Arabidopsis thaliana: one gene and its partners. The protein of the gene in region 1 interacts with the protein of each later gene in a pairwise test. Each region holds a gene or a part of one and is shown on either strand. Other genes may lie near its edges.

Region 1 (7,347 bases):
GGTGCGCTCAACAGTTGCAGAAGCAGAGAATGCTGTTCGTGTATTCACTCAATTGTCTGCTGCTTCAGACCTCCATGTTCATGGGTTTGATAGCAAGAAAATACAAACCCATGTTCAGTATTGCTCGCACTTGCTGGAAGCAGCAAAAGTTCACCGTGAAGCTGCTGAGCAGGAGGAGCTGCAGAACCGACAGAGATTAGAAGTTGCTCGTCAGGCTGCTTTGGCAGAAGAAGCACGCCGTAAAGCTGAAGAACAGAGGAAATATCAGGTAACTATTGACTTGCAAGTTAACCATTTGCAGCAACAAATTTATTTTGGTGATATATATGGAAGCTTTTCAAGTCAGTGATATGCATTTTTCTCTTGGGCAGTTGGAGAAAAGAAAACAGGAGGAAGAGCTGAGACGCCTAAAGCAAGAAGAAGAAAAATTTCAGCGTATAAAGGTAGGAGGTCTCTTGCTTTTGATTACAGTGTCTATGAAGATCAGATTTCTCAACATTGTTGTGTAGTGTCAAGGGAAAAATTACTCTTTGGTAACACTTTTTAGGGTGTATCCCTTTGTCAGTATGGTGTCTTGAGAAGATGTTTAGGATGACATGCTGATTTTGTTTTGTAATAATTAATGCCCTAGGAACAATGGAAGAGCTCCACACCTGGATCTAATAAGCGGAAGGATAGAGTGGAAGATGATGATGGGGAAAGTAAGCCCAGTGAGCGGAGAAGAAAGAAGGGTGGAAAGAGAAGAAAGAAGGACAAAAGCTCAAGGGCTCGACACTACGAGGACGATGAAGAAGAAGCTGCCACTATGGATGATCATAATGAAGTGGAAGATGAAGACGCCAACACTAATTATAACAGGGAAGATGAGATGACTACTCAAGAAGCTGAGGAACCTGTGGATGATGATGCTCATGATCTTCTCGCTGCTGCTGGGCTCGAAGATCCTGATGTTGATGATGATGAGGTAATACATAAACTTCAATCCAATTCATGGAACTACACAAATGCAAAACACAATGTCACACTAAGTCTGTTTTGGTGAGTACAGGTACCTACTTCGGGTGTAAGGCGAAGAAGGGCGTTATCGTCATCAGACGAAGAAGGTGAATTAATGGAGGAGAGTCATCCAAATTCAAGCCCCCAGAAAGAAAAAGAAGAGAGCAATGGGGAAGCTGGTGATCCTAACATGGAGGAAGAAGAGGAAGAGGAAGAGGCCAATTGAGAGATATTTCATACATAACAACAGATATCTCTTGTGTGTTTGTAACTTTAGTGACAAAGATTTCATTGATTCAATTTCTCTAGTAGTCAGAGTGTGAAGACAATTTACATTCACAGGCCAAGGATGATCAGTTTGTATTTTGGGTTATTTGGATTGAGCCTTGTTTTTATTTGCTATTGTTACTAATAGAAAAGCTTTTTTCTTTTTCAATGTTTTTAAACCCGACCCGGACAGTAAATCGGATTACCTTCTGGATCACCAGGTCATGGGGTCAACCGGGTTGGACTACGGGTCAATTGATTAAAATTTACTTAATATACTTAATGTCAATAGAAATTACTTAATTTTCATAAATATAAAACAAAAATAATCATATCATGTTTAACAAAATATGAAATCAAACAATAATAGAAAGTGACTAAATTTTTCAATCCAACTAGCAGTCTAAACCCGTAACAAATATATTAGGAGATCATCAATGACGAAAATAAACTAATAAAACATATATCTCGAATTCAAACAACTAATCTCGGTTGTCTTTCTCACCAATTCATTGATTTTCTTAAAGCAGAATTATGAAGTCTTCACCAAAATCTAAAATATCAAATGAGATAAAAAAGTGAAAATAAATTCCAAAAATAATTGAATAAAGCTCAAATATTTTTTTTCAAACTCAAACATTTTTTTTTCAAACTCAAATAGTCTAAAATGCTATATTTAATTCCAAACTCAAATAATGTTTTTAAAACTTACACTCGGCCGGTTCAACCGGTTGACAGAGTCACAGGTTAAGGCGAGTATTTTCGAGTTTGAAATTGTCGGATATTAGCACTAAATTTAAACAGAAAAGTGTCTAGATCGCGGATTAACCGTCTAACTGGACGGTACGAGTCGGCCGTAAAAACACCGGTTGAAACAACTTGATACGTAGTCAATGGTTAATGAAAGCAAAATAGTAAACTAAAAATAAATAAAGAAATAAAAAATACAGAAGAGTGTTGTCAGAAGGAAGTGGAAGAGTCAGAAACGTGGGTGTGTGTGTGTGTGGTCTTGAAGGATTTGGTACTGTTTCTGCAGTTTCTTCTGTTCCCTTTTACTTTAATTTTTCTTTTGGGTTTTTAGGTTTCATGTTGCTCTCTCTCTCTCTCTCTCTCTCTGTAGGATCTCTTTCAACTTTTCAGAACATATTGACTGCAATTATAGTTTATAAGCAACAAAATTACACGCACACACAAGTATAATTTGCTTTATGTCATGTACTCATGTGTGTGAGTGAAGAAATAATAATTCAGTTTGATGAGAATAAGAGAAGTCGTCTTTCTCTCTCACTGAGTCAGAGCAGAAAGCTTTTGATTGGGTGTGTGGCTTTTTCAGACCTGACCAAACTCAGTCAGGGAGCAGAACTCAACTCAACTCAATTGCAAAACCTGTCTTTTTTTTACTCTTTTCTTATTTTCTTCATCATTTTTTTCTATAACATAACCTTTAAGAAAAATTATTTACTGTTTTAATTATAAAAAAAAACTATTTACTATCCACAGTAAATAGTTTAATGAACAAGTTTCTGACAAAAAGAATCAGAAATAATTAATTACAGAAACATGAATTGATAAATTTGTTGCTAATCAATGACTTAGTGACATCGTACTATCACTAATATTGACAAGAGATGAGCAGAAACAATTTAAACATTGAAACCAAACTAATATAACTACTTTACACAAGTTAAATCTTTTATGCTAATATAATGCATGGATCACAAAAAGAAACTCCTAATTAAATTAGACAAAAAAAGAGAGAATTTGCATTACCATCTTAACAAGAAATACAAGGTTATAAGAACAAAAGATGATCAAATGAAGAGTGAAGTAGAAACAGAAGATTTAGAAGAAGGCCATTCATCAAGAAACCTATAAAACCTCTTGCTTCCTTGCTCTTCTTCATTATCATGATCTCTTTGTTTCAGCTTCTCCTCTAACATCAATGGCCTCTCACGTGTCCTCAAGTCAGTACCAAGGATGAAGCAATGTCGATCCGGCTGCTTCTCCTCGTTGTTGATGCCTCTACATGAGCCATCATCATTATCTTCCATTGCTGAGCCAGAGCAGCTTTTGATTGACCCGGAAGGTTCTATGGAGAAGAAATCATCCATGTATCCACTTCTTCTTCTTCTACTTTCAAACATGTTTTGAAGATAAAAAATAGTCAATCATTGTGTTGTCATTAGAGTAAAACAGAGGAGGAAGGTGTGTTTGAAACCTGGAAGAAGAGTCGAGAAAGAGATTTGGAGTGAATTGAGTAGGAGGAGGCTTTCTTGAGGAAGAACGGTTCTTGCCTCTATGCATATGTCTCTCACAGTACTTAGAGTCAGGGTAAGCTTCTTTAGAGCATCTCCATTTCTTGCCATCAGTTCTTCTACATCTTCCTGGCTCTGCATCTATCTTTCTTCCCATTCCCATCTCATACACATTCCACCCAACTGAAAAAAAAGAGTCAAATTCGTTTACATTATCACCAAACCCTAAGGATAACCATCATAGAGCACAAAGCAAAGAAGATAAAGTGTGCTTACAGTGTGGAGAAAGAGTGGGAGAGAAGAAGCTTGAAGAAGAAGATGAAGAAGAAGAAGAAGAGAAGAGAAAGGGTCTTTTGATGAGGAAGAGAAGATGAGGTGGAACAGGCATATTTGCAGCTAAGTACTTGAACACAAGAGCTTGGTTTTCAAGTTCTTCCCATTGTGATTCTGTGAATGGAATCCTTGTAGCCATGAAGAGAGAAAGAGAAAGAGAGATGAAGAAGAAAGAGAGATTAAAGATTGGGATTTGTATTGGAAAATTGAAAGTGTAAGAGAGTAGTAGGTATGTTTTTATTGATAAAGTGTCCATTGGTCACCTGCAGTCTGCAGAATCTCTGTGCTTCATGTCCTCTTCTTGTTTATTATTCCTTTTTCTTATTTCTTAAAATTTTCTTTTCAGCTTTAGTTTTGGTTTTATCTTAAGCACCATTTCAGGTTTTTCTTTTCCTTCTTAAAAGCTAAATTTTGTGACAAGGGGCATAGATAACTTATGTTTAATTTATTTACGTATTATATTCAGGAGTTTGTAACTTTTGTTTGCGTTTAGAAAAACGAGAAAATTTGGTAACCGAAAAGAGAATCTACCAAGTTACATACGTATACGTAAACAATATCCTTCGGGATTGACTCTATTAAGTTCTAATTATTTTTGGTTGACAAAAAAAAAATCTAACAAGTCATGAAACTTAAGAGGTAAAGTTGTGTACAAAATAATAAGACATTAAAAATTTCAGCTCTAATGTTGGGTTGTTATGATATCTTTTGAGTCATATAACTTATATCTCAAACTTTAGTATATGTGAGAAAGAAAAAATAAGAAAAAAAAAATACTTATTTGTGAAAGAAGCTTGAATTTAACCCTACAATATTTAAGATGTTTTTAGCATTTATATTCGATCCTAAATATAGTAAGTAAATAGCCAAGTGAGAGGATTTATGTCCCTCTTCTATTCTTCTTAATGTTTTAACTATAAAAAAAGAAACATGTAAGCATATTGCAACTATTACAAAGATCGTTATAAAGGTTTAGCTAACCACAAAGAACATTCTCTTAATCATTCATTATAGTATTAGAAAATAAAATGAAAGAAGTCCAATTGTAATGAGTTTATAAATTTTGAATTATACCAAATCATTATTTTTGTTCTTCAATCAAATAAACCGTATCGTGTAATGTGACATCTTTGGTTAGATAGACGACTCGTAGTACTCGTAGCTCCAACACATTCGACATTTATAAAATTAAGTGTACACGGTCCACTTGTGTTAAAAACACTATGCATGAATAATAAATTGTTTTGAATAAAAAATATTTATGAGAATAGAAGTAAAAAAGTTTGAGAGAGAGAGAGGGAAAATAATGAGTGAGTCTGCAAACTCTGAAAACTTCTGCACTCTCTGCGACTCTTCCCTTTCACAGCTCTCACTCACTCCCATACACACCCATCACTCATGCCACATCTCTTTCTCCCTCTTTTATTTTTGTTTTCTTTTGAATTTTTCTAAATTATTTTATATTTCTCAAAAGAAAAAAAACTGTGATTATTTTAATTATCTTTTTTCTTTGTTAAAGATTATTTTAATTATCAAAATTTAAAATTTTGTTCATGCCTATGTAAATAATTCATTTGAAGTCGGTCATCAAATGAAGTTAGACCCAATGCATTAACAGATGGTGGGGGTTTGTGAAAAAACCTCAGAAACTTACACTTCATAAAAACATGATTTATTTTCTTAGGAAAACCTCTAATACTAAAAATACATCTAAATTGATCATATAAATCATGTTTTTTATCCAAAAATATATAAGGTTGATAAATTAACTATATTTAAAAAGACTATATTTGAGACGTAACGATTTAAAAATATTTAGGCAGTTTTTTTTGAAAGATTAGAAACGATTATGTTGAAGTTATAAATAAAAGGTGTTTCACATAATACATACTCATAAATAAAGTTAATAGCATCTTAATCGTCTTCAATTTCTCTTTTATATATGAGACCGATTAATTTCCATGTAAAGATTATTTAATATTGACGGGAAGCAAAACATAAAGAACACTAAGCACATTAACGATGTTACTTAAAATTTTAAAAAGGAATATAAACAAACTGTTTTATTTGGGTAATTATGATTACTTTTTTCTTCATTTATTTATATAGAATTAAAATACTTACGGAGTCGGAACCTCTAGGAATAGCAATCACTATGCCTAAACATGAATCAAGTTCGCAAGCGTCGAATTTGAAAGGTTGAAACTTTGGAAATCCACCAGATTAGAGAAAAACTCTCTGCTTTTATTAATTAAAATGATAAAACGTGTCGAGCAAAAAACTTAGGGTCTTTCTATATATAGAGAAGAAACCAAATCATAAAATAGAAAACTCTAAGCAAAATAGAAAACTTGAAATAAGGAAATATGAAAAGAAATGTAAAACTGCTAAATCTCTCCTACATCAGTCTCCTCCACCTCTGAAGAACTTGTCCTCAAGTTCTCTTCTGGATAAAGGACCCCGTCTGCATGATACTCATGAATGTCAGCTACGTTGAAGGTATTGGAAATGTTCATTGATTTCGGGAGAGCCACAACATAAGCATTATCATTGATCTTCCGCAACACCTTAAACGGGCCATACTTGCGAGGCTTTACCTTGTTGTACGTTCCAACTGCAAATCTCCCTTTACGAAGGAGCACCATCACATCATCACCTTCTTTGAAAACTTTGAATCTCCGACGTTTATCAGCAGCGACTTTGTTCTTTTTCCCGGTAGCCTCTAACTTAGCTTTGACAACTTCCTTAACAACTAAAATCTCTTCAGCCATAGTTTCAGCTGATGCACTTACCCAAGAGCCTTTGGTAACTTAACCAAATCAACCACATGTACAACACTGTTGTAAGCAAATTCTATTTGAGGCAAAGCTAAATCCCATTGCTTTGGATTATCCCCGCATATACTTCGAACCATATTTCCCAAGGTTCTATTAGTTACTTCGGTTTGCCCGTCGATTTGCGTATGAGGTGTAGAACTTCGATTAAGAGCTGTTCCAAACATCCTCCACAGAGTAGACCAGAAATGACTTAGAAACTTTGTATCCCTATCCGAAGTGATTGACTTAGGAACCCCGTGAAGGCGCACTACCTCCTTGAAAAATAGTTTGGCTATGTTGGATGCATCAGCGGTCTTCTTGCATGCAATGAAATGTGTCATCTTGGAAAATCTATCAACTACGACAAACACAGAATCCACACCCCGTTGTGTACGTGGCAATCCCAACACAAAATCCATAGCTAAATCTTGCCAAATATCATCACGAATGGTAAAGACATATAAAGACCAATATTTTGAGATTGACCTTTGTGGGTTCTGAAATCCATACTAGAGATTTGTAAATAGATTTATGAGAAAGGAGGGCTAGATCTTCACAAGAACTTTGAAATTTATATTGCTGAAAACGAATAAACTTTTGTATTGATGATAGTAGAGCTTTTACAATGTAGAATGAGATTACAAGTGTAAAGTATAAGTGTAAGTGTTAAGCTGAATGTA
Region 2 (7,880 bases), on another chromosome or scaffold:
AATCTATCCCATGACGATCTAATATTGCATTTTAACCAATCATGGGGAGGAGGAGACCACTTAACCTTAACCGAAATGTGAACAGCTTGCTCATTCACCAAATCCTGATTCTCAAGAACTTGAGCAAAGAACCATTGATTGGCATCCTCTTTAATCTTCGCAACAGTTTTTGAGATCGCAAATCTTGTCCCTTTATTAATTACCTTTTTCACAGAAAAAAATAATATTCTGAAAATACACTTCCATGGAACACTTCATCAATTTGAAGTAAAAACAAAAAAAATGATGTTTTTTTTGTTTCACCTGATCAATCAAATATTTTTTCTCATTACACAATCAAAAACCTCAAATCCATTAATTTTCAAAAGATGGAAAAAAAATATGAATTGACTATGCAATATTACACATTTTCTTATTATTTATACATCGAATTTTTTCATTCCTTATGGGAAAAAGGGAATCAGGTTACTTTGACCGAATCAATAACCCAATGTTGACCATCGGTTTTGACCTTTAACCGGTTAATCTCTGCGAACAGATTCACGGCTCTCCTCACTCCTCTATTATCCGCCGCCGTGAAATAATCGTGACCAAATATAACACCGCCGGGTCGGAGTATCCGAACCGCCCGGTTTATATCCGCCCATGCCGAATTAAAATCGTGACCCGCGTCTATCTCCACCAGGTCCGCCGTCACTCCCCACTCACACAGCTTCTCCAAAGCCGAACCGGTCGAGAAAGGAACCGGCAATATCGAACCGGAAAAATCCGAGATAACCACGTTTTGCATAAACTGGTACATAAGCAGAACGTCACCGTTAACCAAAGCCATGTCCTTAAACCGGTCTCGAAAACCGGGCCAGCCACGGAAGTCGTCGACGCATAGAATCTGAGTCTCCTCGAGCCCAAGTCGGCGCGTGAGATTCGCCATGTGTATCGCCGACGCGCCGAGAAAACTCCCGACTTCGACGATCGTCTTAGGTTTGACTCGGCGGATTAGATTCTCGAAAACGGCCCCGTATGATCCCCAACCTTTGATTCTTTTTGGCCGGAGAAACTTCTTGGCGTGCGGTGGTGGGAAATCGATGTACGGAGAAGTTCCGTTAAAGATCCGGTCAATAACAGTCTGGCGAATCAATTCCGGCGGAACAAGATTGCCGCATGGAGTCGTAACTCGGAAGTTGTCGATTGAACAAACTTGAGGTTTTGTCGTTTCCACGGCTGTCGTAGACGGTGGCAGCTGCTGCTGCAGCGGTTGATGATAGTGGTAGGCGGAGAAGTAACCAAAGGCGTAGGTTAGAACTATGACGATAACGTACGCAGCCTTGGTTTTCAAGAATTGGAAGGCGTCGCGTTTGTGAGGAAGACGACGATCCTCCTTCATGGTCAAGATTTCTGAGAATGAAGAATCAAGTAAAAACAAAATAGGATTAAGGAAGGATAATTGTTTTTGTTATTAAGTTTATATAATTCGAATTATGGAAATTTATTTATGATTATTTTGGCGGGTCAGTTTGTTGAGACGTTTAAATACAGTCGGATAAGGAAATTGCTCACGTCGTGATCTAATTTATTTGTATTTATTTGACTTTACGTGTCTAGAAAGCTACATGTGATGTAGTCATTTACAATCAAAATCATTTGCTTTAATCCTTGACTTAATTCATTCTGTATTTCGGGTTTTATGAGTTTAGAAAAACCATATAAAACAAAAACTTATTTAACTCCCCTAGACCTATTAATAAATGAAACTACGAATCTCTAATCTTTAGTGTATTTACAGTTTTCCAACGAAATCATATGTTATAACACGACACGACCTCAATAGTCAATAATAAGTAGAATCATGTTTTGAACATGTCAAATGCAGCACTGATTCGAAAGAATAAAGAAAAAAAGAGTTTTGAATCGTAATTCTGCAAGAATTAAAGTGTAGTGTTTAATATATGTGGCATTCGCCGAGATCATCTTATAATAGAGTATGTGTCATACGCCGAAAACAATGTTGGACACTTGGACCTTTCCTTACTGATAAATAAATAAATTCATATCAACTAGCAAATTAGCATATTACAGGTTTTGGTTATAACAATTACTCGAGCTAGACGTATGATGAAATTCAGCAAACTAGTAGATTTGCTATTATATCTTCCCTTGTGATGATTGTAGTTTTGTCTCTTAATAAAACTAGTAATTAACGTTTCAGAAAACAATGCCCATTTTGGTAATTTCACAGAGATTTATCCAAAGTTTTTAAAGAGATAAGACGATAGAGTTGGACGACCGTCTTCCACCGTTGAATTCTTCTGGAACTGGAGTCCACTGTTTAAGCTTCACTGTCTCTGAATCGGCAAAGGTAAACGTATCAATTATTCTACAAACCCTTTTATTTTTCTTTTGAATTACCGTCTTCATTGGTTATATGATAACTTGATAAGTAAAGCTTCAATAATTGAATTTGATCTGTGTTTTTTTGGCCTTAATACTAAATCCTTACATAAGCTTTGTTGCTTCTCCTCTTGTGAGTTGAGTGTTAAGTTGTAATAATGGTTCACTTTCAGCTTTAGAAGAAAATGGCATCAGGAGGTAAAGCCAAGTACATAATCGGTGCTCTCATCGGTTCTTTCGGAATCTCATACATCTTCGACAAAGTTATCTCTGATAATAAGATCTTTGGAGGCAAGTTCTGCTCAAGATTTATCTAGTTTTGTGTGTGTTTTCAAGTTAGGGACGATCTTAATGGTTATCTTCTTGTGAAAATTTCAGGGACTACTCCAGGAACTGTCTCTAACAAAGAATGGTGGGCAGCAACGGATGAGAAATTCCAAGCATGGCCAAGAACCGCTGGTCCTCCCGTTGTTATGAATCCCATTAGCCGTCAGAATTTCATCGTCAAGACTCGTCCGGAATGAGAAAATAATAAGTTCAATGCTTTGATTTTCAGAATAAGATGAACGATGACGATGTTTTCTAAATCCGAGCTTGTACTAAATAACAATACATTACAACACGGTTTGCGGAACTACTCCACAGTCTATCTTCTGTTAAAAAACTCAAACAAGCTATTGCAAAAAGCCCTTACGAGACTCACAAGTCCTAAATATCAACAAAACAAAGCTTCTTTGGATCCTTTTCACTTGCCATCATCTTTTCCTTGTCCATCTGCTCCATCTTGCTTTCCTCCTCTAAGCCCCACTGTTAGCAAAGAAAGAAGTAATGGATACAAGTTACAATTTATGAGATTGAGTATTGTCTTAATAATGTAAAGAGAGTTACCGTTTCCTCCAAGACCGGTTTCTGGTTGTTGCATCGCATGCTGCATCCCGTTGTTGGTCATACCCATTGGTCTAATCCCCATGTGTCCTTGCATAGCTTGCTGATGTATCTGCTGCTGCTGTTGCGGATCCTGAAACTGGAGTGGGCTACCAAACTGTAAAGGACCCCTTGGAGCGAAAATCCCTGCAGGGGATGCTTGTGGGTGTTGCATGAAGTAGCTAGGTGGTTGCATCCCAGAATGCGGTGTTGCCATCTAACAGAAATCATACCCAACAGTAAGCAAACCCCCAAACAACATTAAATTTCTGTGATAGATCGCAATTGAGTTTTATCATCACAAACAACCTGGGCAGCGACAGCTGTAGATGGTGAAGGTCCTGGCGTAGGTGGTGGGGGTTGAGCATCAGCAATTGCAGCAAGATACATCAAGTTCTTCTGGAGAAGAGCTTGGTACCTGAAAATATAACAGAGCAAAAGATAGAATAACTATATAAACCTCACCATTAATAATAGTAATTCTAAGCTTCCATTACTATCTAAGAGACATAAGAAGATGGATAGAAAAGGTGAGACTTACTGGGCGCACTCAGCAAGTTTACCGAGATTCTGGTTTTCCATGATGGCCATAATCAGCTTCTTGTTCTCATCAAGGTACTGCGTTTAAGCAAAGGAAAGAGAATGACAAGGAAATGACGATGCAGCCTATCATCTTACCATGGAAGACATCAAGCCAAGAGAAAGTACAAAACAACAACATCAAGCAAGCATCTAACTTCAATGTCCATTCTTGAAAACCGGATTCAAAGTTTCCTGACCCACCAAGCATCTACTAATTTCCTAGTCCTAGAAACTGTCTCTTCTCATCATCACCAACAACAGACTCTCAAGTGTTGTGGAATTAACGAGAAAGATTCAAATGAAAACCCTAATTGCCACCAATTACAGTCAAAAGAGTATTACTTGCACTCAGAAGCCAATGATTTTGTCAGTACAAAAAAGCTCTAAGAGCCTCCTAAGTAGTGTTGAACAAATTAAGAGAGAGGGAGAGATATAGGGTGAGAAAGAAGGAACCTTTTGGATCTGTTCGGTAGTGATGTTGTTAGCAGGGGGAATCGACGGAACCATCGGAAACATTTGCGGAGACTGCTGCTGCTGCATCTTCTTCTTCTTTACTACTTACTTTGCCCCAACTAAACCCTAATTTCGTCTTCCCCAAAAAACCCTCGACAAAACCCAGACCGATCCAAACGCAGGAAATGATTGCAAGCTATATCTATATATATTATAGAGAGAGAATCCTGCAATTTATTACTTGGATTCACCTGGATGTCGAACCACCTCTGTGTGGATTTTATGACCAAAAATGCCTCTGTCTCTCTCTCTCTCTCTCTAATTTGTCTTTACAAAACTCTAAACGAAAACATAAAACATTAATTAATACAGCAACGAGCAACCTCTAACCAAATTAGAAAGTTTTGGATATATTTGGGCCAATGGGAAAAAAGGACATATTTGGGCCTAAGACGGTTCTAAGGCCCATGGACCATCGAGAAAGTTACATTGCAAAGTACTACATTGAGTCAGTTTCTTCCTTCTTCGCCTAAATTCGAAATTTCGAAACCTCAGACACACTTACAGAGAGACCAAACGGTAACATACAGTAGCTTCTTTTTCTTATTCGTTAAGAAATCTCACGTAAACCCTTCGAATTTCTCAAATCTTCACTCGGAATCTGAAAAAAAATGGTGAGTGATCTCCCGCTTGATGAAGATGATATCGCTCTCCTCAAGAGTCCTTATGTAAGCACCCCTTTTAGAAGAAACCTTTAATTTATTTTTTCTCGAATTTTAGTCTTTACTCGGATGTCGCTTGTGATACGTTAGAGAACAATTTGATATTTTTTACTGTGTAATTAGAACAAATTATGTCTTAATTGGTCTTAGATAACCTTAAATTGGTCGATTTAGTTCAATTTTGTGTAAACACTCTTACTTGGATTTATCTTCTTCTCTATCTTAGATAGGTGAAATTGTTGAAGAAATTGGCTTTGTGAGAGAAAAGCGCATTGCTCATTGTATTGTTCAGTGTGATGATGGTGGTGATGAGGACGTCAACTCTGCTCCAAACATTTTCACTTATGATAATGTGCCTCTTAAGAAGCGCCACTACCTTGGGACAAGTGACACTTTCAGAAGCTTTGAGCCGTTGAACGAACACGCATGTATTGTATGCGATATTGCAGACGATGGTGTAGTACCTTGTTCTGGGAATGAATGCCCTCTCGCTGTTCACAGGAAGTGTGTTGAGCTTGATTGTGAAGATCCTGCAACCTTTTACTGTCCCTATTGTTGGTTTAAGGAGCAAGCTACTAGATCCACGGCTTTGAGAACAAGGGGTGTTGCAGCTGCGAAGACCCTTGTTCAATATGGATGTAGTGAGCTGAGGAGTGGAGATATAGTCATGACGAGAGAAAACAGTCAACTAGAGAATGGTTCTGATAATTCACTACCAATGCAACTACATGAGAACCTTCATCAATTACAAGAACTGGTCAAGCACCTTAAGGCTCGAAATTCCCAGTTAGACGAGTCAACAGATCAATTCATTGATATGGAGAAATCTTGCGGAGAAGCTTATGCTGTTGTTAATGATCAGCCAAAAAGGGTACTATGGACAGTCAACGAAGAGAAGATGTTGAGGGTAAAACCACCACACTTTTTTCTTGAAATACACTTTTAGCTTAAACTTATAGTATATGTTTATTTTGGATAGGAGGGAGTGGAGAAATTTTCTGATACAATCAACAAAAACATGCCTTGGAAGAAGATTTTGGAGATGGGAAAAGGTATATTCCACACAACTCGTAATTCCTCCGATCTTAAGGACAAATGGAGAAATATGGTGCGTATGTGATTCCTTTCACCATAAAATCCTTAGAAGTATTAAATGACGCATTTGATATCAAAAACATTAAGACAAATCCTAGTGACCTTTTGAATTGGCAGTATAGTAGTGTGACGACTTTGATGTTAGTCCTTCCTTGTAATCGCAGTTTCGGATTCCTCCGTGTAGATCTTTTGGTAACAGTAGTCCTTATAGATGATGTTCGCTTTGTATCCCTTATGTTGATATTAAGAGAAGATAACGTGTCTTTTGTAGTAGCCGTCCCACTCTGTTAGTCTTTTGTTTTGTACCCTTCTTTAAACAAAACAGAGGATTGAGAAAAAGAGAATCATATGGGAATTATGGATATAATTTTGAAGAACTTAAAAATAGGTTAATCTTTTAAGACTATGGGGAGATAACTTGTCGCACAAGTACCAAATGTTTCGGAAACAAAGGTGAAAAAATCTACAAACTTAACAATAAAACCACAAGTCTTCCATTTGTACGGAGGTTAATAATAATTAATACCAAATAAACGACAACACTTGAAGTAGTCAAAACTTTTATAGAATTATCTTGATTTGGTTGAGGTCGAGATTGACATCATCATCGTCGTCGCAGAGATCGGAGATCAAAATGGAGAGGGAAAGAAACGCAGGAGTGATGAAGAAGATGAGTCCAACAGGAACCATCCAAAGATTAGAATTTGTGGGATGGTATTTGTAAAGCCAATAACTTAGAAACAATCCTCCACATATATTCACAATCATCGAATACAAGAACACCATTGACGACGTACTCTTCTTCTCCTTCCTTGTCCTCTTCTTCATATTCGTGTTCATGCTGCTTTCGTGGTTCATTTGCAAGAGGATCTAAACAAGTTATGATTCGCCTTTTTATTAATTAATTTACTGGGAGTTAGGTGAAGTGAAAGAAAAGATGGATGACAATAATAGATTCTATATTGTTAGAGTGTATGAGTAAGTAAGTATATATGCAGTCGGGTTCCGGTTCGTGTAGGTCGGTTTAGAAAGTATATTTCAATTAAACTCGGTTTTTAGTCGTTTTTCTAACGAAATGTGTTTGGTTTTTAGAGATTATTTATGAGCAAAACTGAGTTTGTGTTTGGGTTTTAGATAGGGTACCTAAAACTCGATTAAACATTTAGACCAGTTTCCAGCTGGTCCGACTCCGATTTAGGTTGGTCAATGTATGAAAGGCAAATCTAAACATAAGACACATTTTATGTTATGTATTACTAAATTACTACAAAAAAAACTCCTACAACTCCAAAATACACAATGGTTTAGATTTAGATATACATGTTTTTAGAACTAAAATTATTGAGGTATTTTATAATAGTACTCCAAGTTATAATTTCTGTTACGAGGCGAGAATAAACGTGGGAGAGGAAGGAAAAAAAGGTGCCGTGCGGTGCAACTAGATTTTACATATTTGTACACATATTTCACGATTGAATCTTTCAAGACATTATATGCTTTATCAAATTTTATATATATAACAATTAGATAAGAAACACAATCTGACCCGACTCTACTATTTATAATTATACGTATGAATCTCTAACTTCGTTACTAAAACGGCAAATACTAAACCCTGAAAGGAAACTGTGTGAGAAACAGTTAGGCCCCTTGACCATCTTTGTTCAACGTTGTCAACGAAAAAAAAATGGAACCATAAAGGATAATTAATTGTAT
Region 3 (8,057 bases), on another chromosome or scaffold:
TAGGATGTGATAATAATTTTTGTTTTTTTTTGCGACCTTTTGTTTTATTTGATAAGTACTAGAAAAATCAAATTCCTTCTAGCGATTAATGTTGTTTTATCAAAAGTTTGATCTCGTTGATACGTAGTTTATGTGTTACTTTTTTACTTTATTTCTCGTACGTACGTACTAGCTCGCTAAAAGCGCAAAGTGTTTGGTATATTGTCTTACTAAAACAATATAGAGACTGTATATTTTAAAAGAAACAACTCATTAATTGATCATTTGGAAATATTAGTTTGAAAACCATAGAGAAGACGGAGGAATTATAGACACACACACGCTTGTCCTATAATATTTAGGACCACTCTTCAGTGATAGCTTGCTAACAAATCAAGTCAATTACGTAATGAACTACCAATGCTTTATATTAATTATTCTTGGACGTACTGTTATATTAAGACACTGATTGGTTAATTTGGGGAAAAAATATTAGTACAATGCACAGAAAAATAAAGGGTACAATAATGTTGAGAAAAAAAAGTGGTACAATAATGCAAAGAGAAGAAAAGGGTACAATAATGCAATTGAATTGTATCTTTCTTATTTTGTTTGCTAATTACTAATTGCAAAAAATGTTTTTGTGCTTGAAAAAGTAATCATTCTGTATCTAACATTCACATATAAAACAGAACTAAACAATTTTGCATTTACTTAATGAGACAAAAATGTTTTGTTTTATTTGATGATCATGGTTTTATGTTTTTCTAAAAGAAATTAAAATATGTTATGCAACAAACTATCATGTGTCTATGTATACATAACCTATGATACAATATAGTTTCGACCTTAAGATTAAGTTTCTTTGACAGAAAGTCAGAAACAGTTATCTTTCACATGATCCCTTCTTCAATCCTGCTGCAACGATGTAACGGTTATGCAAAAATTTACTGATAGGTAAATCACATGAAAAATGGCCACATGCAAAAATTATGCCCGGTTCCAACTTCTAGGTTAATATGGTACTCAACAACAAAAAAAAATATTAACAATAAATACGTGTTTGTCTTCTTCTTCTTTATAGATGTTTCACTTTATAAATAGACTGTAAGTTTTTAAAACGCAATAAGAAAAACAACTGAAATCATTTTAGAAATCTTATGCGTGCAGAATAAATATTGGTGTTATGTGCATTTGAAGCTTTAGGCTTTAGCACTTTCTAAAACCTCGTTTTGAGCAAAGTCATTCAAAAGGAACTCTTAATATTTTTACAAATTGAAATAGCAATTGTAATTTAATCAGTAAAACCTCTATAAATTATCATGTTTATTAATTTATAGAGACAATATTTGGGCTAAAATATCAATTTGAGAACGGAAGAAAATTATTAATTTAATGAGATATTAATTTATTGAATATTAATTTATAGATTTTTGACTGTATATATTCTAAGCTTTGTTTTAAGAAAATTTAATCCGTTTAAAAAGATTTATCTTCATTAACCCCAAAAGAAATGATTTGTTTTAGCTTGGCCAATAGTCATGTATGGCCCAATCTGGTATAAAATCTCATAAAAAGTTTTATCTTCATTAACCCAAAGAAATGATTTGTATTAAGATGGGCCAATAGTCAAGTGTGGCCCAATTAGGAGTAAAATCTCATAAACGAAATGGGCCCATAATGGCCCAATATTTGTACACCACAATCGGAAACCCCTTTTGGGTCATTTCAAGTTTGACGAGAAACGTAAATCGCTATTTCTTCTATTCCTCCCTAAAAATCTACCAACGAGATTCTTCTCGAAAATTTCCTGCGCCTCTCCGTGTCTGTGAAATCGATTCAGGTAAATCACTCTTCTCGAATCGATGCTTGTTTTGTGAAATACCGATTCTATCAGATCTATTTGATAAATTTGTTGTTGTTGTTAGTCGTCTGTGTAGTTTATTCACCTTTTGTTTCGATTTTTGGGTCCTCACGAGATCTATGAATCGTTATCTGAAACAAAACTCGAAACTAGCAGATGATATGTTATTTAGCGCGATTAGGAAGAATAAAACGAGATTTGTTGGTAGCAGTGAGTTTCTTAGATCGGTTTTTTTATCGATTGTGTGAAAAAATTCACCATTCAGATGCTTTTATTGATTTGTGTCTTCTATAATTGAATTGAATTGTTTGATTCAGCAGCTTAATTATCTAATGGTTTTATGTGATTGTATTGGCTTGATTAGGGTTGAATATGCCTTGAAACTTCATTTCAATCCCACTATACACTATAGCTATAATCTGATATAAGTTCGTTTTCTCCTTTTGTGTGGCTTGATTATGTTTGATATATCTATGTACTTCAGGTTAAGGATGTCGAGAGCTACATACATTATCGGTGCCCTTGCGGGATCTGCGGTAGTAGCTTACGTGTGTGACAAAGTTATTTCTGATGATAAGCTTTTTGGAGGCAAGTTTTAAACCTTATAAAGCTACTTATGATGTATCCAGAAAGCTAAATTTGGTTTGGTTTGTTTTGAACTCTCAGGTACTACACCAGGAACTATTACTAACAAGGAATGGGGTGCTGCGACTGAAGAGAGATTACAAGCATGGCCAAGAGTTGCTGGTCCTCCCGTCGTCATGAACCCTATCAGTCGCCAGAATTTCATCGTCAAGTCACGTCCTGAATAACTTTTGATGCCTTCTCGTGCATCGTTCTCATTCGTTATGGATTCATTTTCGAATATCTGCTCTTTTGTGTTTGATTTGAGGATCGGCTGATTGCTCTAGCTGGTTATAGTAATAATTTGTGTTGATGCGTAACACATTATTCGGATCAAGCTTTTCCCCGATGCATAACTTTTGTAAGGTTTGTTGATTTTGACGATAAATGAAATCGAGCCAAAAAGAAAAACTTCTAAGACATTATTGGTTTGTTTGGTTTGGAATTTTGTTATCGCTGATTCTGTAAACATTTTTAAAACTGTTACTTTTCATCTCAAGCCTTGGAATTAATTATCACACAAACCTGGAGGCAAACTATCAGGTAAACGTGATTCTAAACCCGGTTCATACACCAAATTGAACCGGTGACACTAATACCATACAACAACATTTAACATTGTACATGTGAATGTGAACCATTCCACATCCATCTAGGAACTGAAACTCAACTGTCTCAGAACCCTTTTAACAGAGACTAACTCATAAAATGACAAAACCTTTTTTTTATATCATCGTGAAGAAAGTAAAAATGAAAGGTAGAACCTAATTGATATCAACAAGAAGCATCACTTATTCTTCCTCTATTTCATTTTCCTTCAGTTTTTGCATCACCACCGCCATGTCTAGCGGCTGAGCCACCTTGCCCATCAGCTCCACTCTGGCTCATATTGGTCCCATCCGGTTTACCTCCTCCACTAGCATCGTTAGGACCCGCTTTTGGTAGAGAAAGAAGGTGAAAATCAGTAATGTGATAATAAGTTCCAAACTGCTGTAAAACCAAATATTACCATTGTTTGCGGCAAGAGCAGTTTCATGGTGGTGCATTTGATGTTGCAGTCCGTTGTTATTATTCAAACCCATTGGTCTAATCCCCATGTGCCCTTGCATAGCTTGTTGATGTAACTGTTGCTGCGGATCCAGAAACTGATGCGGGCTACCAAATTGCAATGGACCTCTAGGAGGGAAAATCCCAGGAGGTATTTGTTGAGCCATTCCCACAGCTTGATGTTGCTGCATGAAGTAGCTTGGTGGTGGCTGCATTGATGACGGATTAGGAGCCATCTACAGAAACCAAACACACACAAACTATAAGAACCAAAATGTTTTGTTTTTCAACTGATCAAAACAGAAACTTACTGCTTGGGGAGTCATGGCTCCTGATGTTAGTGTAGCTGCTGGTGGCTGAGGTTGAGCATCCGCAATTGCAGCGAGATACATCAAATTCTTCTGGAGAAGAGCTTGATACCTAAAAGAATCAAGCAAGAACCATGTTTTATTATTAATATTCTATTTACCATCAGTAAAGCTAACATAGCTCGGTCTTGGTATCGAGAATCCCACACTTACTGAGCACATTCTGCAAGTTTACCGAGGTTCTGATTTTCCAAGATCGCCATTATCAGCTTCTTGTTCTCATCAAGATACTGCAAGAAGCAGCAATAAGTGACTCACTGTGTCAACATGTCATCTTCACAATCTGATTTTAAGCTTTCAAATCTCATATGCATACAAATACTCTGTTTTCACTCAAAAAAAAACTCCAAACTCATGATTGTACATCCAATTCCAGTAACAAAAAAAAGTTAAAGCGGAAAACAATGACACTTTAAAACAAATCATACTCAAGAAGGAAAGTTCATTACAACAGTTTAAACTACTCAAAAACATCATTACACAACCAATTTCAAAGCTACGATAAACAGACATTATGACTAAACAACAGAAAGACAAAAAATATAGAAAGTAAAGTAGTAACCTTTTGGATCTGTTCGGTGGTGATATTATTGGTGGGCGGAAATGAAGGAAGAACCATCGGAATCATCTGTGGAGATTGCTGCATCTTTTATAATTCACCAATCAAAACTCTGAAACAGTGAAACCCTAAAGTTTCTTCTCACGATTATTACAAAACAATAATTCTGAGTGATAGAATTGGTTTAAGAGCCCAATGCAAAACAAACTGATGCAAAAATATTCAACAAACGAATATTTTGGATTATCCTTAAATTTAAGACTTTTGATTTGTTTGAATTTCGCCGACGAGGTTTCTGGGAAATCGTAGGACAAAAAAGTCCCCCAACCAATTAATTTGTCTCCCCCACCGAATGTACACGTGGCACCTTGTCTGATTTTTCGTCAGCTCTACGATAACCAAAAAAAGACAACATTTGTAGCTGTTATTATTTATTGGGCCTGTTAATGGGCCTTATAAAGAATTATGAAAGCTTCTGTGTCAAGAAGAAGGTTACTTTAAATCTGTATCAATATCAGCTCCACGACGGCGATTCGTCGTTGTCCTCCGAACCAAGCAAACTCCGATCCCTCACCGTGGCTCCGGATATTTTACGGCGGTTGTTCCCGGCTCGGACTCGAAGAATTGTCCGGATTCTCCCTTTGACCAGGCTGGAGATGAACCTTTTCCGGTTCTGCTCCGGTCTGAAAGTCCTCGGCTATTTCATGATCCTTCTTGTCGTCGCCGTCGTTGGTGTATCTTACTACGCCGTCGTAGTTAGCACATGGTGGCCGATCTTGATCCGCGGAGACCATGGAGCTTTATCCGCCCTCGCTGCCTTAATCATCTTTGTTTTCCATTTCCTGGTAATTTCCAAGTCTCATAATTTCAGATTAGGTTTTGTTTCTGGAATTGTAAGTCTAGGTTTTCTGCTACTTAACCCCTAAACCTTAAACTTAGGGATGTGGCATGAAACTTATGTAGCCAAGAGAATGAGAAATGCAATGTAGTTATGAAGCATGAAGCAGTGTAGATACATAATCATTGTTTAGACCATTGATTGTTAGTAAATGTTTAGGCTCCCTGAGTTTAGGTTTACAATTATACTTCTGATTTGCTTGGTTCTTTGCAGCTGATAATGCTGTTGTGGAGCTACTTCACAACAGTTTTTACAGACCCAGGTTCTGTTCCTGAGCATTTCAGAAGAGAAATGGGAGGTGGTGACAGTTTGGAGGCTGGTACTTCGACAGATCAAGGAGCTTTTGGCTCTTTAGGTTACTGTACCAAATGCCGGAATGTTAAGCCGCCTCGTTGCCATCATTGTTCTGTGTGTAAGGCGAAATCTGATTTGTTTATACTATGTTCTGCTTGTGTTTCTACTGATAGAGAAAGAAAGCTTTATTCGGTTCTTTGTTTCCTTATGTAGGTCAAAGATGTGTTCTTAAGATGGATCATCATTGTGTTTGGATTGTAAACTGTGTTGGAGCACGCAATTACAAGTTTTTCCTTCTCTTTCTGGTAAATATTCATTTCCATTGTAGTCTCTTATGGTTCTTAAAAGGTTTAAGCGAGCATTGGGATTATTTGATTTGCTGATTTCTTCACCCTCTTTTTTTAATTTGTAGTTCTATACTTTTCTTGAGACAATGTTGGATGTTATTGTCTTGCTTCCTAGTTTCATTGAATTCTTCAGCCAAGCTATAAAGCATTCTTCTTCTCCGGGTAAACTGGCCTCTCTCGTTCTGGCATTCGGTGAGTATAAACGGTTCTTTTTCTCGTTTTCCTTTTCCCAGAAAGTGCTTAGCTTTTTTCTGGGTCTCATTTTCCGTCTTTATGTTTCTTACAGATTCTATCCCCTTGATGCAGTTCTTAACTTTGCGTTCGTTCTCAGCCTTCTTTGTTTCGTAGTCATGCATATTTCTCTTCTCTCATCCAACACTACTTCAGTTGAGGTAAATCTTTTATGTTCTTGCTTTCACAAACAATCTAAGTCTTGAAAATATGAGTCTCTTCTCTGAATCATTGTCTTATTTTTTTAGGTTCATGAGAAAAATGGAGAAGTCAGATGGAAATATGACTTAGGAAAGAAGAAAAACTTCGAGCAGGTGAGATTTTATTGTTTTCATCATTCCATGGATTGTTAGTTAATTAAATATATAACTCTTTGTTTTCATCTTGTGAAGGTTTTTGGGAAGAAGAAGGCGTTTTGGCTCCTCCCATTGTACTCTAAAGACGATATCGATAACATAACTTCCCTTGAAGGCCTTGAATTTCCAACTTGTTCTGACATCGACCCTTGATTGAAAGTTGAAACAAAATCAATCAATCATATTCGAAACAGCCTTCAACTGCACTCCAATGTAGATAACTCTCTACTCAAAAAGAATTCTCATTGCCAATTGTTGTTGTATTATTGTAATTGATTTGATTCATTTCTTTGCTTCTTGTTGAAAGTCTAAGTTCGTTTGACATCTTCAGACTGTAATGTTATGTGATGAGACCCAGTGATAACTTGTTGTATAAGTAAACAACGTTGCACAAGGGCTAGGGAAAGCAAAAACACCAAATCTGATGGATAATTGATAAGAGTATTATTCAGAAGAGAAAAAACTAAAAAGTCTCATAATTTAAAGATCGAATCACTCAATCCTATCCCCCCAGCAGTCTCCATATCAAACCAGAAACCATAAGGTTTCGATTTCATATTTTATAACACATGAGAGAGAGCTTTTTAAAGTTCTCCAAAAACAAACTACAAACAAATCCCAATACACTTCTCCTTTTCTTTTTCTACTTGCTTATTTTTCTCTATGGTTACTAGTAGGGTCGGTACCTTCGGCCTCCTCGGTTACCATCATGTTCATGACTGTTATCTCTGCCTGACCCTCCGCTTGAGCCGTTATTCCGGTCATTTCTTCTTGGTCGTTGTGGTGGTGCTGCTGCCATCGGCATACCAGGCTGTTGCCTGCACAGCAATCCATATTGGTTATTTATTAAGCGAAAGTAAATATGAATCAATAGAGAAGGATCAACAAATTTGTTTACAAGAACCATCGACTTACAGAACATAGCCAACTCGGCCATCGGGAAGAAGCATTGGAACCATTTGCATCCCTGTTGGCATTGCTCCTCTACCATAGATCATTGGCTGCTCAATGCAAAATTAAAACCAAACGTTACACAAAACAATGGCTGATAAGACTAGTCAAGGATGACAAACAGCTCTTTCTTAGAAACATATATACCTGACTAAAACTACCGGCAATACCCAAACCGGCACCCATAGCACCGTAAGGAGCCGCAGCAAAACCACCAAACGTGGGATGCACAAAGGGGGCAGGAGTAGGTGCAGCCCCGTAAGAATAAGAAGAAGGGTCATGCTTCCTTTCAGCCTGGGGTTTAGCAAGCACAACTTCTAGTGGTTGACCTGTAGTTTGCAAGTTTGTGGAATGTGTTACTCAATAACATCTCTTGAGACGAAAAAACATACGCCATTAGAGACAAATTGATAGCATAACGTTCATAATACTCAATAGCTGTCTTCTAGATGACTAAAAAAACTTACCATTGACTTCATATCTCTCGGTATCTTTGACAGCCTTCAATGCACTAGATCTTTCAGCATAGTGGACAAACC
Region 4 (8,686 bases), on another chromosome or scaffold:
GAAACGTATATGGTACGATTTCTAATAACTCAAGCTATTTTATTACGTATTCTTATATCTCAATAATCTCCATACATACATAATAATTAATTAAAAATAGATGGTGAAGTAATGTTTGTTCCTCATATTGAAAAGTTATGTACGTATATGTGTAATAATGTACGTACATTTTTGTTGGTAAATTAATGTATGTACATGTGTAATAATATACATATATCTTTGTTTGTGAATTAAATTATTAAGAAATATTTATTGATACAATATTAAACCAATATTGGCAGTGGCTGAAATATATTCTAAGACGTTCATAGGATGTAATTTTGAAACATTCTGAATTCTTGACGACTTGAGCAGTCAAATGTCATGGACAAGTATCATCAACGCATACCATCTCCAATCTTGTAGGACATGACCTAGGTTGCTTGTAGCAAAAAAATTGTTTGATTGTGAGATAAGACATTGTTTGTTGTATGACTTTTCTGTTGTTAAAAACACTTCCCAATCTATAGTATATGTACATTGGTACAAACCATGTTGACACATACTTCTTGGAGTTACAGCTGGTGTACGGTCACCCGAGTGAGAAATATTATCTCCGTCAGGTACACGCTGACTTGTGTACGTACATTCTGCCAATAGACGACTGAATTTCCATGGATGTTGAACAGTCAATTGTGTGAGAATGACGTTCTCCTCAACATTCCCTATTCCATATTCTTCTACAACTACATCGTTCCACTTGTTGTAATCATAATTTTCGCCACTACTTTAACTACCATCAATAGTAGGATCGAGGGTACTTCCCCCCCCCCCCCATAGATCCATCGTTACCCTGATAATCATCATACCCATCACCGTCTTCATTGTCCCCCTCCTCTTCATCCTCATCTGTTTTATCGTCTTCAACGTCGTCTTCCTCATCTATGGCCTCATTATTTTCATTAACATTTGAAGCACTATCACACACACGGTCACTTTCAGCATCGTCACCATGAGTCCTAGAGACATTATTCCCGAGTGTCTTGACGGTTGTAATGAAAGAGACAAACAAGTTGAGAGAAGGATACCGACCACGAATCAAAAAGAACGTATCCAATCCCACTTGACTATCAATGAAGACAAGAGGGCGTTGAGTATCTATCATGACTAACATCTCTCCCGACATCTAGTAACTAATTATGGGATTGATCTCTGTGGACTTAAAACTGAAAGCCTCGCTTAGTGTACGTACAAATTCCGTGTATGTAATGTTTTCCTTAATACGCACACAGCGACCAAACATGTCTTCCTTTGGTTTAAATTTCCATTCTTCTTCTTTGCATCTCCACTCACCGACCATAGTAAATACGGGAATATCCATTACCCAACTGCATCATAAAATCAAGAGAAACCCATTAAATGCAACTAAAAACATGATTATATCTACAAAAACAAATAGAATTTCGATATACACACTTATAAACATAAATATTTACACATTTAGCATTTTCAACCAACAAAATTGGAAATAAAAAATTTCTGGGTTTTTCTATAAAAAACAAAGTTGATTTCGAACACAATGAAGATCATAGTGTGTTATAACAAAAAAATTCTTTAAAACTTCATTACTTACACGATAATGATTATCTTGGCTCCAAACTTCGTAAATAAACAAGATAAACACTTCTTGAGCATCAATGTACGTTCGCAATTAATGTTTTTTCCTGGGTTCATTTTTAACTCAACAATTATTATCAATAATTTTATAATATTATAACATGTAATAATGATTTTGCATTAATTATAACAACAGTCACGTCTAAACTTTTTGGGCCATTAAATGTTTATGTCACTTCGTTTTTAATAAAAAAAACCTCCCTTCTAATTGTACAGCTGCACTCCTCAACGTGAAACAAAAATATCTTCAACTAAACCGGAACAGTGTACCTAACTAAACCTGACTAACTAAACTGTACATTCAACAGTTTCTTAGCTCTAGCAGCAAGGGCAAAAGGGTCAAATTTCAGCTGAAAAGACAAAACGTGAAAACCACTTTTCACTTTGTCAATCTCTGAAAATAAAACATGGTCAAAGGGTGTGGTCCGCAAATTACCCTTTATAATACCATGTCAATGTGAACAAAAGAAGAAGAATAATGTGTTGGTCATGAGAAGAAGATATGACAAATCTATCTAGTTTTCGAAATAGCGCACTACCAGTTAGACAAAAATGAAGTCTAGTAGAGCAGGCATGAAGCCAACATGTCAAATACATACTTGGGGCCTATGGTGGTGCGGTCTAAACATTTAACTAGTGTTTGTGACATATTGTTTCAAGGCTTATAGTTTTGCCAAAGGGAAGGAAGTAATAGAATAACTGAAGACTTCTCTTGGCTTGTGATTGAGTTGTAAAAAGCAGGGGCTGGGCTTGGCCTCCTAGGGGAATCCAGACACTAGAAAAACAATCGTCGATGGAACTCTCAACTAAGGGAAATCCACACTCAATACTACTTGAAGAATCTAGGACGAAGCAAAGGGACCAAAAGACACATTTTTGAAACCCTCTTTTCTTCACGAGACTTTATCTTAAATGGACCCGAATATGGTCTTTGGTTTGAGTGCAGCTTCGGGTGGCTATGGTCCGGTCTTCAGCAGTATGGGACCTTGCGAGGACCACTAAGGCTGGTCATATGAGTCTTGGACTGAACCGGTTGGACTTTATCAACTATAAAATAAAATTATGTATAACAGCCAGAAAAAAAAAACAATAATATAGCCTACATAACGATTTAGAATCCAAATAGGTAACATCAATGATCTACAAAACTTCAGTCCTGGTTAAAGCAAAAGAGTCTAACTCAGAGAAATAACATATTAAGATTACGACACAACTTGGAGCCAGCAGATTTACATGGTACACTACCACGAAAGAGGTTCACTGTTTTAGGGAACAAACATAGAGAGAATAACAAAACTAAAAAGAAGTAAATAAAGAGTTCTTTGCTTCTTCAACAAGCAACTAAAACCAAAACACACTAACTTCAAGACTCCTATTATTACTACTACTTCTTCTGCTGCTGCTGCTGCTTCATCATTAAGATTCCTTGTGCCACACTCTTTCAATTCCCATCATCTGATGATTTCAAGTAAAGGGTTTCTCCACCATCCCCTGAACTTCCTCCTCTGCCTTCACCGCCACCACCACTTCCCATTTCCGGCTTCCCACGGCCAAAATCATGAAACCCACCAGCCTCTCCCTGAAGGATATGGAGACCACTGCTTCCTCCTCCTCCGCTGCTCGAGCTCATTCCAAGCTGGCTATGGTGCAATTGCTGATGCTGAAGCGTCGCGTAAGGCTGCTGCTGCTGCTGTTGCTGAGCATACAACATTGAAGATCGAGCCGCCATTAGAGACTGCTGAGTCATCTGTTGCTGTTGAGTCGCTTGTTGCTGCTGCAAATAGTGTGACCCTCCTTCTCCCTGAATCATCCCACCACCAGCAGATCCATACTAATAACCAAACAAAACAAATCACTTTCTCAATTGATCATACAACAAAATTTGGAATACTTCACTGTATAAACAATCACCTGGCTATGCACACTTGGTGGCTGAGGCTGAGAATCTGCTATTGCAGCTAGGTACATTAGGTTGCGTTGAAGCCTTGCTTGATTCCTATAACCATTTTAATCATCATTTCTTGTTACTCAACAGAACACAAGTGAAATCATAAAGGAGATATGTTGTCTCTTACTCGGCGCATTCGCTAAGCTTTCCAGAGTTTTGAGACTCAACAATCTTCAGAATCAACGATTTGTTTTCGTCCAAGTACTACAATCAAACATTTTCATTAATCATTACTAATGCTACAAACAAAAAATTTGCATACTATTTTGTTTTTGTTGTAATAAAGACATAGAAAATCTCAAAAGGAGACCCCAGTAACTTAAATTCCGACTTATCTCAAAAGACAATAATGTTGAAATATCACAAAAGTGTAACGAAAGATTTTCTTCGAAAAGATTTTGAGGACCACACAAAAAAAAAACTGAGATAAGGACCAGATGTTGTTTCGGACCACAAAGTATATCTGGTCATGTAAGCAATAAAAGAAACACTTGGACTGGAAAATACACATAGATCTACTTATAATGATAACAAATCTAAACAGGACCACCCACAATATTCACATAAATGGCTTTGTGGTTTTTGCCATCAATGAAACTTCCAGAACCCGAAAACCAAGACAAGAAGAAAAAACGAGATATGTGAAACAAATCTTCAGTTCCCAAGATTTGTCTGTTTTGAACACGTTATTTTTCATTACATGTTTCAAGAACTCAAAACACAACTGGACCCTAAACATTCATTTTCATTGAAAGAAAGAATCTTTCTTAACTTTGTCTGGTTTTAGACATTTAATTAGCATCAAAGTTAACTGATAATACACCAAATCTATAAGGAAAAGAAAAAAAGTTGAAAGAATCATCTTAGTGACCAAAGCATCTCTACCAACCAAATTTATCAAACATAAACACACATGTATTAAAACTAATTTCTCTATGAAAAAAAAAGACATGGAAACAAGAATAACAAGAACTCTTTTACCAAACAAAAAAGAACCAATGAAAAAAAATCATCTATGTTATGAGAACAGAAGAAAAGGGTTTCACATACTTTTTTATATAATATAAAGAAAAAGTTATAAGGTACTTGCAAGAGAGATTTCTTCACTTTCCTTTATGAATTCAAAGAAACATATAATAAAGAAAAAAGAAAGAGATAATATAATAGAAGAAGAAGGAGAAGGAGGAGAAGGAGAAGAGAACCTGTTGGATATGATCAGAGGTAACATTGCTGGGGTAGTAACCAGCCATCATGGGCTGCATCTGCATCAGGTGCTGTTGCATTTCTTTTGCTATTTTATATAAAACCTGATAATTCCTTCTTATTTATTTATATATTTTATATATATAAGTTTTTATAGAGACAACCCCCACCACAAAACCCAGAGGAAAAAGAGAAGTCTCACCAAGTGAGAGAGAGAGATATTAACTTTTGTATCTGTCTCTCTCTCTTTCCTCTATGCTTCTGTATATAGAAAACTCTTAACTATTGAAGATGTGTATCTCTGTGTGTGTGTTATCTCGCTTTCTCTCCTCCACAAAAGTTGTTTTGCGTTAAAAGACTGAGAGAGACAGTGAAGTCTCTTAAATAGAAAGAGAGAGAGAGAAGAGAAGAGAGTGTTTTTCTCTTTTTCTTGGGTTTTGGGGTTTGGTTTTGTTGGTTTCTTTCTGTCTCATCCTATCTCTGTCTCTGCGAAGAAGAGGAGGTCACGTGACGAGTCATACTTTATTATAGAGACGTGAGACCTTTACATATATACTACTACTTATCAATATGTACACATTGTTGATTAAATTATTACTTTGAAGTTTGAACCCTTCGTATATAGAGACGTAACTATATACCAAATAATACTGTTTACTCCTTCGTATGTATATACGGTGTATTTACTTGTATATATATGTAATTATGTATATTAAAATCTCTTACAACTTTTGTATAATATTTTCTACATTTATAGATTCATTTCGGGATTTTATAATAAAGTAATGCAAAGTAGGATTTATTGTTTTCTAGATTGTTTTGGTAATTTATTGTTTTCTAGTTTTCTAGTTTTCTTTTACTATATCAAAGAATATTTTTGTCGTCTTATTTTGTTTTGGTAATTAATATATAAAAAAAAGATGTCTTTAGTTTTTCGAAAAATAAGATTCATGTATTTACATTTTAATATAAAAAAATGTTCTACATAGGAGTTTTTAACCTAGTGGATTGAATTTGTATTTTTTTAATAATTTATTATATTTAGTTTTACACAACATTTTTTTTACAATGGTTTAATTTTTTATCATGAGAGGTCACATCTAGATGCGATTCTTCACATTTAAAATAAAATGGATTAATGAAAAAATTAGATTAAGAAGTAGCTATGTGAGATAATTTTCTTTGTAGATGTTTGATTGTGTTGATCAAAAGAGTCTCTTCTCTCTTATACCTTAAAATCATATTTATAGGATTTAATCTCAACCAAATTACTGAATTATGTTGTGACTTAGTCTTCTTATGCGGATTAGATTTGGCATAACTAGTTCCCTAGAACATGTTATCAAAACAAGTGTGTTTGGTTTGTTAGCTTAATGATGTTTTTCATTTTGTTTTAAAAGTAGCGCATGACTCGTCTCGTCTCATCACTAACCATCTTTATGTGTTTTGGCAAAATGCCAAAATGTAAACACATTTCTTACGCTTACCAATAGTTATCTTCTTTTTTTTTTTGGTCTTTTTTTTTTATCGAATCACGTAACACATTATAATTGACTGATATCTTAATAGATGAAATTTATCCTCAACAATGATCAATACATGTTTCTTTTTTTTTACATATGTTAATACTAACTCGATCACTTGTCTCGACCAATAAGACGAGTTATCGACCATCAAAACACTGCCCTAACTTGGTTTGAATGTTTAATATTGATGATTCTCAACCAAAGGGTCTCTAAAGTTTTTGAAATGCTTTTGTAAAGAAAATAATAATAATTAGTTTGGAGTTATTTGATAAGTCTCATTAACTTTTTGTTCGAATTCTTGAAGTACGTTTCGATGGTCGGTAATTTAAAAAGAAAAAGATTCAACAGCTATATTATCTTTGCGTGGTTATACTTAATTCCACGTTAAACCCTCTTGTAGATGTGGTTAAATATTAATTAACACTTTATTCGTTGGTACCAAAAATGGATCCGAGATATTCCTTCTGCATATATGAACCACGGAGGCTCAACTTTTAATGTTTGTTTGTTTAACTATAGTATTATGTATGAACATTAAAGTAATCTGTAAGGATAAATGAATTGTTTTCTTTTCCCGATTAATTATGTCTTATAGACAATAACCAAACCAATAGTGTTTCTATGCCATCTAAAAGCAAACCAAAAACACTAGGAACAAAACTAAAAATACCATTTCTTCTTTTTTATCAGACCAATATAGTTGTTTGCATACTGTAAATTGAGATTATGAAGTTAAAGGTAGGATTCTGAAACGCTTACAAATGATCAATTCATTTTGGTTAATACCTAAAAGAAATATTAAATTTTTACGACATTAATTTTATACTACCTTATTTTCTATATAACAGCCATAAATTTTATAGTTAATGTGAGGTTGATGTTGAATCCTCTTACATAGAGAAAAGTGTTGCAGCAACTTGTAACTTATTATTGTACTATCTTTGACCGATTAATATGAATATTCACCAAGATATTGGAGAACTTATAAATAATGAAACTTGCAGTTTTTGAGCTGAGATATTTTGTGGTTCTGGGATACATGAAATTACGTACTAAAATTTCTTAGTAACAATAAATGAAATGTTATACGTATAAAGTGGAATCACGTTGAACAAGAATATGTGCGTCGATCTTTTAAAGACCGCTTCTGTCCAAATAATACTTCTTGTCAGTTATGACATCACATTGAGATTCTAATTACCCCCACGCGCTTAATTTCTTTTTCATCCTATGCTATCTTTTAATAATACTGATTTGTTTTGTATTTTGTTTTCAGAAAAAGTGTAAGAAACAAAAAAAAAGAAAACTGAAACTGATTTCTTTTTTCACTTTACTCGCGAGGAAAAAAATACATAGTTGGAAATAATTAACGTGGTTATACCAAAAATGTGTTGTATCGTATACATTTTACTTGACCAAAATAGATTTTCTTCTGCTATATAAAGTAGAATAAAGTAAACAGAATCATTATATTATAGACTTATAGTTTAAAGTGAGCAGAGCACGAAAATTAAATGAGAAAGACACATTTTACATGCAAACGAAACGACCATAACAACAAAACTCCGATGTGTCAAACATGTGATGTCCACGTATATTTTATGTCTTTTCTTGCCTAAAATTTGGCAAGTTTTGTTAATTGTCGGTTTATATAACTAATGTGAAATGCTTAATGGCAAGTGACATTGCTATTGGGTTTCAGTTTCTAATATAAAAAAAACAAGAATAATCCACCTATTTTTCCTCTCTCTTTTCATATATCTAAATGTATTTTAGTATGTAGATGCAGTCTCTTTACCAAATGTTAGATTCTACGTCTGACAAGAAATATATGCAAACATGCTCTATATTGAATACTGTTATCTCAAAATATTATTATTTTCTTTTTTGGTATTCCACCTACCAACAGTGTAATGAAATTTTTAACTATAACATATAAAAGAAAATATTATTTCAGTTAACAAACTTTGTGACTAATGACTATTTGGTGTAGTCCTGCAACTGTTCTTCTCATTTTTGGATACCCAAAAAGCTTTTGAAGCTTAGGGTGCCTGTTTTAGGTACCGAAAATGTCATTTCGTTTCAGGTGCAATTGTGATTTAAGTGTGGAAATAATGCGAATTTGGAGCGATACGATCAGTTAATATTGTGAATGAAGATACGATTTGGGTGCGATGCGATTACATCATATTTTTTAAATGGCAAAACGATTTAGATGTGATTTGAGTGTGATTAGATTTTTTTTTTTTTACCAAATTAGCCTCTACTTATATTATTTTTAGTTTCTTTTAATTAATATAATTTATAATATATGCTTATAGAAATATTTTTTAAAATAAAACATATATCAACT

The links.
Region 2: the proteins of GRF6 (region 1) and GIF2 interact in binary tests that used the Arabidopsis thaliana proteins (3 or more experiments, as listed by UniProt).
Region 3: the proteins of GRF6 (region 1) and GIF3 interact in binary tests that used the Arabidopsis thaliana proteins (3 or more experiments, as listed by UniProt).
Region 4: the proteins of GRF6 (region 1) and AN3 interact in binary tests that used the Arabidopsis thaliana proteins (3 or more experiments, as listed by UniProt).

Annotation. Positions count from the first base shown.
Region 1 is NC_003071.7:2,422,983-2,430,329, reverse strand, and holds GRF6 (growth-regulating factor 6), read right to left. Parts: upstream 4,155-7,347; 5' UTR 4,108-4,154; coding exon 3,795-4,107; exon of another isoform or gene 3,702-3,794; coding exon 3,482-3,701; intron 3,394-3,481; coding exon 3,075-3,393; 3' UTR 3,007-3,074; downstream 1-3,006.
Region 2 is NC_003070.9:69,137-77,016, reverse strand, and holds GIF2 (GRF1-interacting factor 2), read right to left. Parts: upstream 4,661-7,880; 5' UTR 4,435-4,660; coding exon 4,348-4,434; exon of another isoform or gene 4,103-4,347; coding exon 4,001-4,102; exon of another isoform or gene 3,931-4,000; coding exon 3,854-3,930; intron 3,731-3,853; coding exon 3,622-3,730; intron 3,530-3,621; coding exon 3,277-3,529; intron 3,196-3,276; coding exon 3,134-3,195; 3' UTR 2,921-3,133; downstream 1-2,920. Other genes in the region: AT1G01180 (S-adenosyl-L-methionine-dependent methyltransferases superfamily protein), read right to left, coding at 461-1,384; AT1G01170 (ozone-responsive stress-like protein (DUF1138)), read left to right, coding at 2,574-2,679, 2,767-2,912; AT1G01150 (Homeodomain-like protein with RING/FYVE/PHD-type zinc finger domain-containing protein), read left to right, coding at 5,019-5,075, 5,296-5,976, 6,049-6,177, 6,732-6,902. UniProt on the Arabidopsis thaliana protein: Transcription coactivator that plays a role in the regulation of cell expansion in leaf and cotyledons tissues.
Region 3 is NC_003075.7:354,146-362,202, reverse strand, and holds GIF3 (GRF1-interacting factor 3), read right to left. Parts: upstream 4,859-8,057; 5' UTR 4,529-4,858; coding exon 4,445-4,528; intron 4,113-4,444; coding exon 4,036-4,112; intron 3,935-4,035; coding exon 3,826-3,934; intron 3,751-3,825; coding exon 3,477-3,750; coding exon of another isoform or gene 3,403-3,476; coding exon 3,275-3,402; 3' UTR 2,866-3,274; downstream 1-2,865. Other genes in the region: ATOZI1 (monopolar spindle protein (DUF1138)), read left to right, coding at 2,335-2,431, 2,510-2,655; AT4G00840 (DHHC-type zinc finger family protein), read left to right, coding at 5,098-5,286, 5,553-5,751, 5,847-5,938, 6,046-6,172, 6,287-6,372, 6,460-6,525, 6,604-6,720; LIF2 (RNA-binding (RRM/RBD/RNP motifs) family protein), read right to left, coding at 7,238-7,385, 7,483-7,568, 7,666-7,847, 7,986-8,057. UniProt on the Arabidopsis thaliana protein: Transcription coactivator that plays a role in the regulation of cell expansion in leaf and cotyledons tissues.
Region 4 is NC_003076.8:10,644,734-10,653,419, forward strand, and holds AN3 (SSXT family protein), read right to left. Parts: upstream 5,330-8,686; 5' UTR 4,888-5,329; coding exon 4,807-4,887; exon of another isoform or gene 4,655-4,806; intron 4,643-4,654; exon of another isoform or gene 3,809-4,642; coding exon 3,732-3,808; intron 3,653-3,731; coding exon 3,568-3,652; intron 3,488-3,567; coding exon 3,098-3,487; 3' UTR 2,734-3,097; downstream 1-2,733. UniProt on the Arabidopsis thaliana protein: Transcription coactivator that plays a role in the regulation of cell expansion in leaf and cotyledons tissues.